Oreochromis niloticus: one gene and its partner. The protein of the gene in region 2 interacts with the protein of the main gene of each other region in a biochemical or structural test. Links are inferred from orthologs where the notes say so. Each region holds a gene or a part of one and is shown on either strand. Other genes may lie near its edges.

Region 1 (7,108 bases), on a different chromosome or scaffold from region 2:
TTTAGCAGTACATAGAGAAGATGCCTCAGAGTGACCAGAGAATACAGGTTGAAACAGACGTATAAGCAGACTGAAGGTTGTGCAAAGCCTTTTGACCTCAGAGTGAGCTTACACAGCTATGTGCAGAGTGATAGGGCAGTGGTCGCTCCCCATCGCCTTGTTGCGGATCTTGCTGTCGCACAAGCCCGGCAGCAGAGAGGACGACAGCACAAAGTAGTCGAGCCTCCAACCCACGTTCTTTGAGCGGGCGTTCATCATGTAGGTCCAGAAGGTGTAGGCGTTGGTCTGCTCGGGGTACAGCTCGCGGAAGCTATCGACAAAACCTGCCGCCAGGAGCTGGCTGAAGCCTTCGCGCTCCTCGGGGGTGAAGCCAGCATTTTTCTTGTTCCCCTTGGGATTCTTCAGATCGATCTCCTGGTGAGCAACGTTGAGATCTCCGCACAGCACCAGGGGCTTCTGCATGTCCAGCTCACTCAGGTATGCACGGAAGTCCACGTCCCAGGTTTTGCGGTAATCGAGGCGAACGAGGCCTCTGCTAGCGTTTGGCACATAGGCCGTCACCAGGTAGAAGCTGGGAAACTCGGCAGTGATGACACGGCCCTCCTTATCGTGCTCTTCTTTGCCTAGAACATTAGTCAAAATGATATCAGTTGCTTCACCAGTACTTAAACTGTTTGTATAGGTTTAATGTGTTGGTAAAGCATACCAAAAATGTCTCTGTTGGTTTCATCTAAAGTTTTATGCTGATAAGGCAAAAACATCAGTTTTTCAAGAGCAGGAATCTGGTAATCACACACAATGTGCTCATTATGGGAGAACCTTCTAAACTACCAATGGGGCTTCATGCTAAACAGTCCCTATTTGCGGTTATCCACTAATAATTTCAAAGAATAATTTACTTCAAACATAGAAGATTTCACATGTTTAAAATGTTGCTGTACATGTTTTTTTGCCATTTCTGGGCATCATAAATAACTAAGCAGAACACAAAGTTCACCCTTACCAATTCCATAGGTCACTTTGATGGGTTCAGTCTTGCAGAGCATAGCCACCCCACTGTAACCCTCCTTGTCACCTGATGCAGCCCAGTACTTGTGAGGGTACTCGGGCATTGAGGTGATTTCAGCAGGGAGGGCTTTCTCTGCACACTTTGTCTCCTGTAGGCATAAAATGTCTGGATCCTCCTCTCGCACCCACTGGGAAAAGACAAATGTGCTTGTTAGGATCAATCAGTCTCAAAACTAGCTAATTAATGTTTCTCCAGACAGCAAACTCACATCCAGGCCCTTCTTTTTAACCCAGGCCCTCAGCCCATCCACATTCCATGACGTGATCTTCATGTTTGCGTTGCGTCCATCTTTGCTGGTCATTTTGTCAGGAGGGTCATCATACAGTATCGGACCCTCTGGTTCCTTGGCTGCCTTTGCTTTCTTTGAAGGAGCTGTGAAATGAAAGACAAATAACACAGGGTTGGATAATAGATGATGTTGGAAAATCTATAGTAAAGGAAAAGTGCATTTCAGTTCATCAGGGCATGCTGGTAGTACCAGAGGCTGTGTCATTTTCTCCTTCCGCAGCTGCCTCTTCTGCCTTCTTGCCCCTCTTCATACCTGAACTCACTCTGACGGCAAGCACACCTCGCAGACACACAACACGCACACACAACACCACACGCGCCGCTGAAAAACAAAACAATTACAATTTAAGTAATGCATCTATTCAGTGCACAAAGGTCAAATGCTGCACCAGTATGCAGGACACACAGGAAGGAATCTCATACATAATGGAAAACTAAATCTCAACATTGAGGATTTGTTACGTTTCCAGTTTTATGTCTTTGTGTACACGTAATCAGCGTTTTAAAATGTTACCCACAGCAGTCTGAAACAATCATATTGTGTTCTGGAAAATTGCGACCAGCTCTTTTCTGAATCAAGACAAATTCAGAAAATCAGCGCAAGTTCAAGTTTTAATTCATTCATATCATATAAATTAAAATTCAATTCATTTAGCAGAGCATTTATATAAGTAGTTTGGCTGAATACAGATCTGTAAACACGATTAAGGCCAACATGGTCAAAACTAGAAACGGAAATTAAAGGAAAAAAAACAGAAGAAAAATGGAAAAGGTTTCAACACTGTAAAGGTAGCAGGTACACCAGAGATGTTTTGAAGAAATTTCACCAGTACGATCAGCAGTTGCTGACTTATATGTATATTCAAAGATGCTCAAGGTTACATTCAAAACCTTGCGGAGTGGCTTAACTACATCTGAAATGTATTATTAATAAAAGTAACTAATACTGGACAGATGATGCTGATATCAATGTTTATGTTTGACAGTTAACAATTTGGATAAAATTAAGTCCTTTTATCACATAAACATACATAAAACAAAAATAACCGAACATAAACATAGTGCACAGGATCAATAAATACGTACAGTAAGTAAATATCGGCCAATTCATCATTCTGATGCTAGTTTTTCTAGTTCTCTCTGTCTGTATGCCGAGAATTAGACTTACAATGGCCGACTTCAATGTGACTATTTACATCCTAATCACATTTTCTGACAAAGCGGAAGCGAGATGAGCTTTTGTTTCAGTTCAAGTCTCTGGTTGAGTGCTTTAAATTCAATACATTGTAGAATTGGCGACCAGCTGATGTAAAATTAATGCATTCATATAATTTAACAGCAACAGAATGAGCTATTAGGAAGTTTGCCATGTTAAACAACAAGTTTAGCTAACAGCAGCTACCGCTAGCTTTTCCTCTCTGACAAAGAAAGCAGGCGGCCTACGCCGAGAATGAATGGAGAATAAGCAGACAGCTAACAAGCCTCCCTCCGAGCTTATCTGATTATCAACGAATGCAAATGCGCTGAAAAATAATTAGCGTCTTCATTTCAAACACGTTTCATGGAAAAGACATGCAAATAACCTTACTTGCACTTTCACAACAGGATGTAAAGCCCAGACAACTGCTGCTTCCCAGGCACTCCCCCCCCAAACACACGCGCCACAGCACAGCTAAGACTTCTGTCCACGTGCTTTGCTGAACTACTGACTGTCTAAATACATGCCTGAAAATTACCGAGAAAAATTCAATATTTGTATGTCTTCTTGAAAAATAAATACGTACTTGCTGCTATAAGTTACACAATGTATTACCGTGACATGTTAGTTAAGTAAGGCTCTGTTTTTACGTTGTCTTATGTTAAGGCAAAATGTGTACCTCCCAGTGTTTGGGTCCTCTGGGCTTCGTTATGGAGGAGTTGAGCTACAGAAATTAGCCCAGTCAATTAAGTTTACGTGCGTAAAAGTTAAAGTGATATGAATTAAGATCAATGTGACCTACAGAAGGAAATTAAAAAAAAGTAGGTAAATATATTTTGTTTTTAAAACCGCATCACCATAAATTTACTTTTGGAAAAAAGTCGGTCTGTTCTCTGGCGGTTAGCATAGGAGCTAATTAGCTATCAGGATGCTTGTGCTTTGGTTCTTTTACGTATTGATTGTCCAAACGTTTAATGTGGAAATATGTAGGTTAAAGGTATATTGTCAGGGTTAATAAAAATGCGTGCGATAACATGTTATCTGCATAAAAATGTTTGCTGCTAAATAATTTGAATCTTGAATTTTGGTGTTGATTGTGTTTTACTGTGGTCAAGTCAAGTCAAGTCAAGTGGCTTTATTGTTATTTCAGCCTTGTGCAGTGTTACAGTTCACAGTGAAGCGAGACAATGTTCCTCCAAGACCATGGTGCTACATATAACATATAACAGACAAGCAACACATGACTACATAATGTGCAGGTATGCAAAAATTGCAACAAAACAAAGACAGTGCAACACCAGACAGAACAGAACGATACAGACACAAGACAGTGCAGACACAACAGTGCAATAGAAAAGGGCAACAATGACAGTGGGTTGTGCAAAAATTAACTTGATGTATGAAGGTGTGTGTATGAGATTGTGCAGATGAGTGCTTTAGGTAGTTACGTGTATGAAGGTATGTGTGTGTGTGTGCATGTGTCAGTCCAGTCACTGAGTGTTCAGTAGTCTGGCGGCTTTGGGGAAGAAACTTTTTTGCAGTCTGGCAGTGAGAGTCCAAATGCTCCGGTACCTCTTGCCAGAAGGCAGCAGGGTGAAGAATGTGTGTGAGGGGTGCATGGGGTCCTCCACAATGCTGGTGGCTTTGTGGATGCAGTGGGTGCGATGAGTGTCTGTGCTGGAGGGAAGAGAGGTTCCAATGATCTTCTCAGCTTTTCTCACTATCCGTTGTAGGGTATTGCGATCTGATGCGGTGCAGTTACCATACCAGACATATTTAGATATGTGGATGTCCAGTTCAAAATTTTCTAGTATAATCTGATTTAGTTTTATTGTGCCTTTTTCTTGCCTGTAATAGACTTCTAAGAGAGATGAAAGGTTTAAATCAAAAGACACTATAACAACACAGTGAATTCCTTCTTTCTGAAACAGTTTTTTCTGCAGCCATGACTGTAGTGATTGGATTTGAGGGCAGTGCCAATAAGATCGGCATAGGCATAATCAGGGATGGGGAAGTGCTTTCCAACCCCAGACGGACTTACATTACACCTCCGGGTCAAGGTAAGTTGGAGTTCCTCTAAGATATTAATGATACCTCCAACATACTGCTTGTATGAAAATCTGTTAGTTGACTGCATGCTTTATTTTATATGTCAGGGTTCCTGCCAAGTGACACAGCCAGACACCACCGTGCTTTCATACTAACCGTCCTGAAGGAGGCGCTGGAGCAAGCGGGGCTAAAACCTGCAGACATCGACTGTGTGGCATACACCAAAGGTAATATAAAAGATTTTAACTTTTCAGATGTCTGTCAAAAATTGATCCAAACATGTTCTCATCAAAAAGGGTCATAGTGATTTTAAATAACTGAGAGTTGATTGTTTGTTAACAAACAAACGTTAGTTTTATATCGCAAGTTACTCAAAAAGTTCAGACCTTCGTTAATGAAGAGCTCCCCGTCAGAAAAAGGATGGCTTAAAGAGATGGGGGTTTTTTCCTAATAAACAAGCCAAAGAACACTTGTCAAGCTCCACAGCTTATAAAGAAAATTGACCATGTCAAAATTTCTCTTATTTATCCTTCCTTTGACAACTATTAAGGCCTGCTTTAAGAAACACGTGCTTATCTGTCTTACATCTTACATATTGGGTTTTTCAATATTTTGAAACTATGACAGAGAGAATATAGCTTAGTGCTATAGCAGCTTTAGACTCTAAGAACATAACTAATGGAGGGTTCAAAACCACCTGATCCAGCCCTAGTTATCAACTATAACCAAAAAGTAAGCTTAATCAGATCATGAGGAGTCTGAGAGCTGAAGGCTCTGGCTCCCATTCTATTTTTATAAACTCTAGGAACTTAAATTAAGCCTGCAACCTGAGAGCAAAGTGCTCTGTAGGAATATTATTGTACTAAAAGGTCTTTAAGATATGAATTGAAATAAAGGGACTGTGATTCTTGACTGATGTCTGTAGAAGACCTAACCAATAAGTTGTTCTCCTTCAGGTCCTGGTATGGGTGCACCCTTGGTGACGGTGGCTCTAGTGGCACGCACAGTTGCACAGCTTTGGGGAAAGCCGCTGCTCGGTGTGAACCACTGTATCGGACACATAGAGATGGGACGACTTATCACCAAAGCCAACAACCCCACCGTGCTTTATGTTAGCGGGGGCAATACACAGGTTGGTTCCTCCCTGTAAGCCTCATGAAGAGCTTTTTGGCACAGAACGACTACACTGCATTTTCTGATGAGCAGCTGTCAGCTAAACAGCAGTATATTTGAAGTAGAAATGCAGTTTGAGTTTTGTTCATCCTGAATTTTGTGCAGGTTATTGCATACTCAGAGCGGCGGTACCGAATATTTGGGGAGACCATCGACATTGCAGTCGGCAACTGTTTAGACAGGTTTGCCAGAGTTATTAAGGTTTGTGTCATACTTCTCAACATAAAATCATCAAGTTGAATTTCACTTAGTGCAACAGATGTGTGATCATACTTCTGTATGAAACCATTTCTACACTCAGATTTCCAATGATCCAAGTCCAGGCTACAACATAGAGCAGATGGCCAAAAAGTGAGTGAGATCACTGAATAGTTGTGAATATTTAGTGTTCTTTATGTTTTTTAATATTTTTTAATGTTTATTCTAAACTTGGCTTTCGCTCCACATTGCCAGAGGGAGTCAGTATGTGGAGCTGCCATATACAGTAAAGGGCATGGATGTGTCCTTTTCTGGCATTTTGTCCTACATTGAAGTAAGTCCTTTGCTCTTCTGTAAAGTTGGTTGTGTCATATTGATTATCTCATGCATCATGGCTGCAAGGCAAGGCGTGAAATACTTTTGGTTTACGTTCTTTACGTTTATATTCCTTCCACAGGATGCTGCTCATAAGATGCTGAGCTCTGGTCAGTGTACAGCAGAAGACCTGTGTTTCTCACTTCAGGTACAGCATAGCGCCTTTATACACACGAAAGTCAGAAAGTTCATATTTTGGTTAGGTGGAAAACATTTGATCCAGTTACCTTTGGTGTTGCAGTGGAGTTATCCTCTGATAAAACACCTTAAAGGAGTTTTTCTCATTGACTTTATAAGATTGTCAGAACATATTTCTGAAACAAAAATGCTCCTTCTCATTTCAAGTGCAACTGGAGCTTATTTCTGGCAGCTGGTTCACCAGGTTTTGTACATTGTATAATTTACTGAAAAGTGTGATTTGGTTTGTTTGAGGAGCAGCCCAGAGGAGGTTTCACACTTTTATAAGTTTCACAAAACGACTTTATGTTCAAATCAGTGTGTGTGAAAAGCTTGTTCTTTTTTTATTTTAGTTTATTTTATCAATTAGTTTTAGCGAGAGTTATGAGAGTTTTAGCTAATAGATAAATTAAAGTTTTATTACTGAATTGATCAGTTAGTTTGTTTAAAATAAGACAGAAAGTAGTGTCAATGGTCAAATCTACAACAGCTCTATACAATGTCCTGAAAGTTTTGTGTGTGTGTGTGTGTGTGTGTGTGTGTGTGTGTGTGTGTGACCAACTATCCAGAACTCAAAGATC
Region 2 (7,696 bases):
CAGATGACAGAGAGGGTCTAAATATCAAGCTTACCTCTCCCACATACTGCAGGAGGTTTTCAGTTAAATGCGTTCCCAGTATTCTGCTGATTTCCTCGCAGAGCGCCCCCTTCTGTTTCTTCTCAGAGTTTTCGACCTCAAGCAGAAGACTTGGAAACTCCCACAAGCCTGCCAACAAACCTGAAAATACACACGTTTACTTGCAGAATTTATCCATGCAGCCCACCCAGACAGATTTACTTACTTTTACCGGTTTTTATGTGTGTCTGTATCAAGCTGCACAATGACTGAGACATCTACCAGAATTAGAGCCTGCCTCCAGACCAATGCATCACTCCTAACACTAACAGTTTTCTCAGTGATTCAAGTAGTCTGATTCAGTCTCGTTATCAGGACAGAATTGTGTGCATTCTGAATCCAACGCTTGACCAGCACAAGCTGATGTGGCAATCAGTGCTAACCTTTGCTTGGCCTCTGTATGAGCAGGAACTTTTCTTCCCCGTCATCTCCAGGCCTCTTCACCACACAGGTAAGAGTTCGCTCCACTCGGGGTGGCTTCTTCGACGGCTTTCTGGGGAAGTTCTGAACACCCAGCTCATCATTCCAGGGCTCCGAGGGACACAGGGGACATGTTACACTGTTCGCTTCACATATAGAAAGATACTTTTAATTTCAGGACTATACAGACATCTGAGAGGTCTGAAGGGAAGGAGACTTACTGCAGTCTTCTATGTCAGGCAGCTTTGAAGTCTTTGTACCCAGCTTCCCCAAAAGATTCTTAGACTTTTGCTCTTGTTTGACATGAACCTGTGCAGACACACAATGTGCACCCATGCCATTAACTGCAGAGAATCTTTTCTAATCTGTGTTAGCATTGTCTTCTTCTGTGTTCGCATAATCGGACCTTAGTGGTACCAGTCGCAATTTGAAATCATCCCAACCTTGTGATAAGAGTGACAGTGAGACTGTACGGGGCACTGACTGCACAGTGGCCCTTTAGGGGTGCAGACTCGTGCTCCCAGCTCCATCATGGCCTGGTTAAAGTCTCCAGGTCTCTCAGGATCCACCAGCATATTGGCCAGATTCCTTAAACACAAGAGAAATAAAAACATTCAAAAGCTTTCCGTTTATATATTCCCACAATTATTTTGGTTTGGAGGTGAATCTCACCAAAGTGCCTCTGTTACTGCTGGACTTGTGCTGTCAGCTCCAATCGCCCTCAGGCGACACAGCACCCGAATGACATTACCATCCACAGCTCCGGTAACCTAGACAAGAGAGATCACATCACTTATGCGTGATTAATAAGAGAGTACCTAAGACTTTGCTCTGCTGCAGATATCCATGTCTAATGACCCACCAGCCCCTGTGCAATAGAGCCTATAGCTGCAGCAGTGTAGCGTCCCACTCCAGGCAGCTGTTTGAGCAGGCTCTCAACCGTCCGAGGCATCTGTCCCTTTAGCTCTGACACCACCTAAAGGAAATCGAACATATAATGAACACTCAAACACAGAAGGTATGAGACGTTTCTGCAGACATACTATTTAGAAGTGTTAGATAAAGGGAAGAACACAATCAGACCTTCTGCGCTCCTTCATGCAGCCTTCTTCCACGGGAGTAGTAGCCCAGGCCTGCCCACATCTGATTCACCTCCTACCAATCAACACAATCAGTACATTCACATTAAAAACATCATCATTTTAAAATCATTGTATGTGCATTTGCTGCTTTAAGTCATCACCTCTAGAGTTGCAGCTGCAAGATCCTGGACTGTGGGCCACCTCTGGAGCATAATAAATAGAAGCTTTAAGTTGCACACAATGAAATCAATGTCACAAGAAGTCCAGTGCACAAAAAACCTACACGATGCAAACCTTCATCCACTTGTTGTAATAGTCTTTTACTGTGGCAACCTGAGTCTGCTGCAGCATTATTTCTGAAACCCATACTGAAAAAAAAGCACATGCACTTAGACGTTTAAGCAGCAGTTAAAGATGTGTACATTTGTCAAGAATCCACCTAACTCTTCTCACCTCCATATGTCCTGATGTTGATGTCTGACTCTGTTATAGCCTGTAGAAAGTAACGAAAGGCAAAAAGCTACAAATTTCCTCTGAGAAAAAGACTAAAAATACGACAGAAACCACCAAAACACTGACATGGCAGAACCGTTAACTTTGAACCAAACTTATTTCTATATCATATGTTACATTAATGTATATTAATGATGACAACGAAGTAGTATAATATAGTTTCTTTTTACCAGAGTCCTCCATGGCAGCTCTCTCTTCTCCTTGTTGTACCAGTTAAGGAGTTGAGAGCGAAAGCGGACAACATCAGCAGGATCAGGGAAAGTGTGGTACGGAGATGGTGAGGAAGCATCTGTGGTTTCCTCTGGAAGACCAAAAACACAATGCTCACTCAGACTAAAGAAATCCCACTGAAATCTTATTTGTCTATTGTGCTGTTATTAAACGTTTCTATTGTATACTATAATAATTATGATTATTAGATTGAAACAAGTCCCATCAGATATTCATGCCATTTCTTGCAGCAGTACCAAACTTTACCTAACACATGAGCCTGCAGGACACGGTTTGGCTGCGCAGGACGCATCTCTACTGCTGTAAATTCTGAAGCTGCCAAAACATTCTGGCACTGCTTAAACAGTTTAGCAGTTCGTTTTTAGCATCACCTAAAGTGATGTGTTTACTTTCAAGTATGCAATGAAAGCTGAAATGTAGATCTCTCTATGACGCGCAGATATGAAGTAACAGCAGCATGGTGGCTACCTTGTTTCTTTGACTTCTTCCGCTTCGGTAATGCGCTTTCTACCACCTCCACTCCGGCTCGCTTGCCTTTCTGCATCGCTGAACGTAACCTGCTCATAATCAGAAATAATATAAAGCAACCTATTCTGTTTCTGTCCGCACAGCAGGACCAGACACGTTTGCTTCATGCATTCATTTCTGGCTCCCGCCACGTTAAGGAGTGATGGTCCCGGCTCATCCAATCAGCTGTGAGGAAACCCATTACGTACGCTAACGTCAACTCCGGTGGGCGGGTCAAAATAAGACCAGTCATTTCTTTATATTTTGCTAGAAAGAAATGATAATAGGTAGAACGATTTATTGAAACGTAGGCAAACATACATGGAAATACAGCATATAAGTCAAAAACAGAGTCTATAGACTCTCTTAAACAGCTTCCTTGTAATTTATTTAAGTAGCCTTCAGGAATAGTTTTCCAGGTTGCTTGAACGAAATGCAAAGCTCTTCTCTGGATATTGGCTCCCTTTCTGATCTGTGTCAGGATGATCCCACATTGCTTCAATAATATTGAAGTACAGTCTCTGAACCTGCAGCCAATCCATGATTTAGAGAACCCTACTCTGTGTCTTTTGCTCCATTGGCTGTGTTTGGGACCATTTTCATGTTGAAAAATGAAGCAGCTGCAAATCCGATTCTTTCCAGATGGCATCACCACAGCCCTACCCAAGGAGCTGCAGGTGTCCTTCTATACACACTGTGTTGAATCTGTACTGGCATATTGCATACCAGTGTGGGCTGCCAGCAGTCCAGCACTCCAGAAGGTCATAACACGACACAGAAGATCATCACCTGGTTGAGCTGTTACCCTCAGGTAGATGCTACAGGACAACTAAAGCTAAAATGAGGAGACTGAAAAACAGCACATATCCTAGGATGTTGCAATAATAAATAATAAATAACAAACAACAAATGAACAGTGTTATGCCCCCTTTGACTCAAACACACACACACACACACACACACACACACATATATATAGATATATAGATATATATATCTATATATATATATATATATTAGTATTAAACACTTCACCAATTTCTAAGCATATTTTTAAAGTTGCTATTGACATGGAATCCTCAACAGATTCTTTGGGTCCCTTCTATGAACTCTGAGATTTTTAAGTGGATTCAGGTCAGGTGACTGCTGGGCCATTCTAGCAGTTTTATTTTCCTTCTCTGAAACCAAGTGCGAGTTTCTTTGGCTGTGTGTTTGGGGTTATTGTCTTGCTGAAACGTCCGCCCTCATTTCATCTTTATCATCCTTGTAGATGGCAGCAGATTTTTATCAAGAATGTCTCGGTACATTTTTCCATTCATTCTTCCTTCAATAATATAAAGCGTGCCAGTAACGTATGCTGGAAAAAGCCACACACCATGATGTGACCTGTTGTTAAGGTGTTTTTGGAGAGATATGCAGCGCCTTTTGACCTCCAAACATGGTGTGTATTACAGACTCCAAAGAGTTCAGTTTTAGTCTCATCTGACCAGACTATATTCTCCCAGTATTTCACAGGGTTGTCTAAATATGTCTATAATTATGTGGTGAGTGTGCATACAGGCCATGGTGGTTGACAGCACTACTTATAGTTTTCTTTGAAACAGTTGTACCTGCTTATTCCAGGTGTTTCTGGAGCACTTCATGAGTGGTCCTTGGCTCTCGGCAACTCTTTTGATAATTACCCGCTGTGTTTGCTGTATGTGAGTTTACTTGTGTCAAAATTGGGGACTTCTATCAGCTCACACACCAGTACCCCTCTCCCTTTGGGGACCAAAACCACCGTCCGCAATTAGTTTTACCTCTAATAATGTTCAGCATGCTCTAAAACATGTTTTAATCCAAAAATCTCCCCTGTCCCCAAAAGTGACATTCTTTGGATTTTTTATGTATGTGTATGATGTTCTCTCACAACAATCTGTGTATAACTCTATGATGCCCCTAGTGGAAGAGTATGATATTGCAAAGATTTGTATGAATAGTTTTATAAGACTTTAAGACTTTATAAGACTTAATTGATCCCACGACGGGGAAATTTTTGCGTCACCTCAGCTCAGGTACAGATATCAGAAGGAAATACAAAAAAAAAAAAATACAAATAAGTACAATCAATGAAAAAAGTAAGATAATACACTATATACAATGGTAGCACACACAGTATGTGATTATGGATATGGTTGGAAATATGGAAGACATAAACTATATCGCTTGATATAGCTATTGTACCACTGTACAGCTATTTATATAAATAAACTGATATTTTCTTGACTAAACAATAGAAGTCAGTACATTATTTGTTAGCAAGTAGTTGAAAATTGGAAATTTGCTTTTTTTTCCCTTTAATCACAAATACTTGAGTCATGATAACTATGTGACACTTTATAGCTGTATTGATAAAAAAAAAAAAGCCACTGTAAATTATGCTGAGATTACAGCGCATTTATGCTGAAGACACACACTTAGATGAAAGTGTGAAAGACTGCAGCTGCTTTCTTATAGCATATATCTTAGAGTCTTCTTACAGCAGTTGTGCCAGCAAGTGAAATATGCCATCATCTGATGGAGCATGAGCTTTAGAGCCAGTTATTAACAAAGTTCAACAAGCTGGTAATGAAGGCTGACACTGTTTTAGGTAGTTCTCTGAAACCTCTAGAGACAATTGTGCAAAGATGTAGGATTTGGCTAATTATTAGGACTTACATACTTCATATTTCAGCTGGTGCTTGATTTTAGTGTTTTTCTCCCCAGCAAGTTAAAGTGCGTTGTGCAGAAAAAGGATTGTAGTGAGAAATTTTTTCTATTTTTTAAACAAAAATCTGAGTGGAAGAGAAATCCAGAAATCTTTAAATTAAAAAATAAATGGCAGCACTAGGCCCCTGTCTATGTAGCTCCAGTACTCTGTACCTCTTGAGGTTCAAACTGCACAACCTTCACCAATAATACAACTATGATGTAATTATTTTGTTTGATTATATATAAATCTGCATTTGATTTTTTTTTTTAAATGGTATGGCAAAAACACCCCTAGGCCATACATTACAAATGGAAAATCCCAGAATCAGCTTGGTTATATAAGGCTTAGGAGGCTACCTGCTCTGGTTTGGCATTATGCCTTGGAAAAACATTCGAAGGTAAGACAAAAACAAACAACACAAACACAAAAGGTCTTACTGTTGCAAAACATACTAATGGCAATCTTTATTGCTACCAGTTAGTGACATTTAAGATATAATCCAGAAGTGGAATTGACCTTTATGCACATGTTCAAAGCGGAACTTTTTGATGTCATTGTGCACACCATGTTTGGAGAAAGAATGGTTCTGCATATCACCCCGAAAAACAAAATGCAAAAAAGCTTTGTATGCCCAAAGCAAGAGCTGTGTCTGCATTCTTGGCACAATGCTGAGCTTGTTCCCGCGGCAGGTTAAGCTATGCCTGAGCTGGCCCTTGTCACCAATTCTGTTTGTGGTTTTTATGGATGAAATGGTGTCTAGTTTGTGAACCTTAGGGTCTCATCTATTGGCCAATAACATGGTACTGTTGGCTTCTTAAGGCCATGACCTTCAACGTGCACTGGATTAGTTTGCAGCTGAGTGTGAAGCAGCTGGCATTAGAGTTAGCTCCTTTAGGTCTGAGGCTATGGTTCTGGAACAGAGAAACCCCTCTGGGTTGGAGGTCACTCTCTGCCTCATGTGGACAAGTTTTAGTATCTATGCTTGTTTACAAGTGATGTTAGGATGTAGCAGGAGTTGGAGGTCGGATTCCACAGTAATGTGGAGGTAGCAACGGTCTGTTGTGATAAAGAAACAACTGAGCCAAAAACAAAGCTTTCAATTTACAAAGGTGTCTATGTTCTGTCCCTACAACACATTATCACTCCTAACTCTTCATATATGGACACTTGGTCAGGGTCCTTCTGCTTCACTTATCAACATGCCGGGTACCCCCCTCGCGTCATGAATTAACTTGCAGGGTACTCTTATTGTATACTATAGAGCTCCCTAAACGTTGGTAATTGATGACAAGAGACTGCCGCAGAAGAGCCTGTTGTCCCTATATTTATACATTTCCGAAATCACATTGTAGTGACTTATACTGACCACAACAAATTATACAATGTAAACAACTACCTGAGAGAAACAGCAGATACGGCAGATAAACTAATTACAGGCTATTACGTTTGTATCGGTTATTGCATTGCTGGAGGGAGTGGTGTATGCTGGAAGTAGCAGTTTTGGAGTGAAATGTTTCGTGTTTCATGCAATGCTCAGAAATCTTTTACTTTTTTTTTTACTTTGTTACAGACACGTCTTCCTGCAACTGTTAGCAGCACTTCAAATGAGCCATATTGCTCAAAGGGGCACAACTGTTGTTTCTCATTTTGTTTTTGCACTCAGGAAAAATGCTGCCGTGTTCAGACAACAAATACAAAGTTTTGCACATCATTACTCAATTGTGACTTAGTGTTCTATCGAAATTTAAAACGAATGTCCTCATATGTGGATATAATTTTTCTCAGAAATTACATCAGGTAAAAAGATAATTCTTTGTTTTTACAGAGGCATTAAAAATGCATGCCATGAAAGAGTTCGGGTCTTAGGAGGTTAAAATTTAAATAATTCTTCAAAATAACTGTTGAAATAATTGCTGCCTTTAGTGGCTGAACAATAGGACATGCTTTTAGCAGGACGTACCATCTATTTTAAATTAACCTGATGATGGTTCATTCAGGTGTGTGTGGTGTATTACTGGTTTGGTGTGTGCGTCTCTATAAAAAAAATACCATCCATATCAATAATACCAGAAAATAAACACAAGTTAATAAATATTTTTAAACACATTGTCTTCACTGGATTATTAGGAGGAGA

The links.
Region 1: the proteins of mutyh (region 2) and apex1 form a complex in vitro, tested with the Homo sapiens proteins (3 studies listed by BioGRID and IntAct, with this or other methods). The link is inferred for Oreochromis niloticus from reciprocal best matches to the Homo sapiens genes MUTYH and APEX1.

The regions. Positions count from the first base shown.
Region 1 is NC_031981.2:36,234,453-36,241,560, forward strand, and holds the start of apex1 (DNA repair nuclease APEX1), read right to left. Parts: upstream 3,089-7,108; 5' UTR 2,946-3,088; intron 1,680-2,945; 5' UTR 1,609-1,679; coding exon 1,548-1,608; intron 1,442-1,547; coding exon 1,278-1,441; intron 1,197-1,277; coding exon 1,004-1,196; intron 624-1,003; coding exon 109-623; 3' UTR 1-108. Other genes in the region: osgep (tRNA N6-adenosine threonylcarbamoyltransferase), read left to right, coding at 4,501-4,615, 4,712-4,831, 5,561-5,736, 5,883-5,978, 6,079-6,128, 6,231-6,309, 6,433-6,498.
Region 2 is NC_031986.2:43,626,037-43,633,732, forward strand, and holds the start of mutyh (adenine DNA glycosylase), read right to left. Parts: upstream 3,025-7,696; 5' UTR 2,890-3,024; coding exon 2,793-2,889; intron 2,395-2,792; coding exon 2,264-2,394; intron 2,074-2,263; coding exon 2,034-2,073; intron 1,949-2,033; coding exon 1,875-1,948; coding exon of another isoform or gene 1,864-1,874; intron 1,784-1,863; coding exon 1,742-1,783; intron 1,654-1,741; coding exon 1,582-1,653; intron 1,475-1,581; coding exon 1,361-1,474; intron 1,269-1,360; coding exon 1,171-1,268; intron 1,087-1,170; coding exon 942-1,086; intron 808-941; coding exon 720-807; intron 645-719; coding exon 462-644; intron 181-461; coding exon 35-180; intron 1-34. UniProt on the Homo sapiens protein: Involved in oxidative DNA damage repair. Initiates repair of A*oxoG to C*G by removing the inappropriately paired adenine base from the DNA backbone. Possesses both adenine and 2-OH-A DNA glycosylase activities.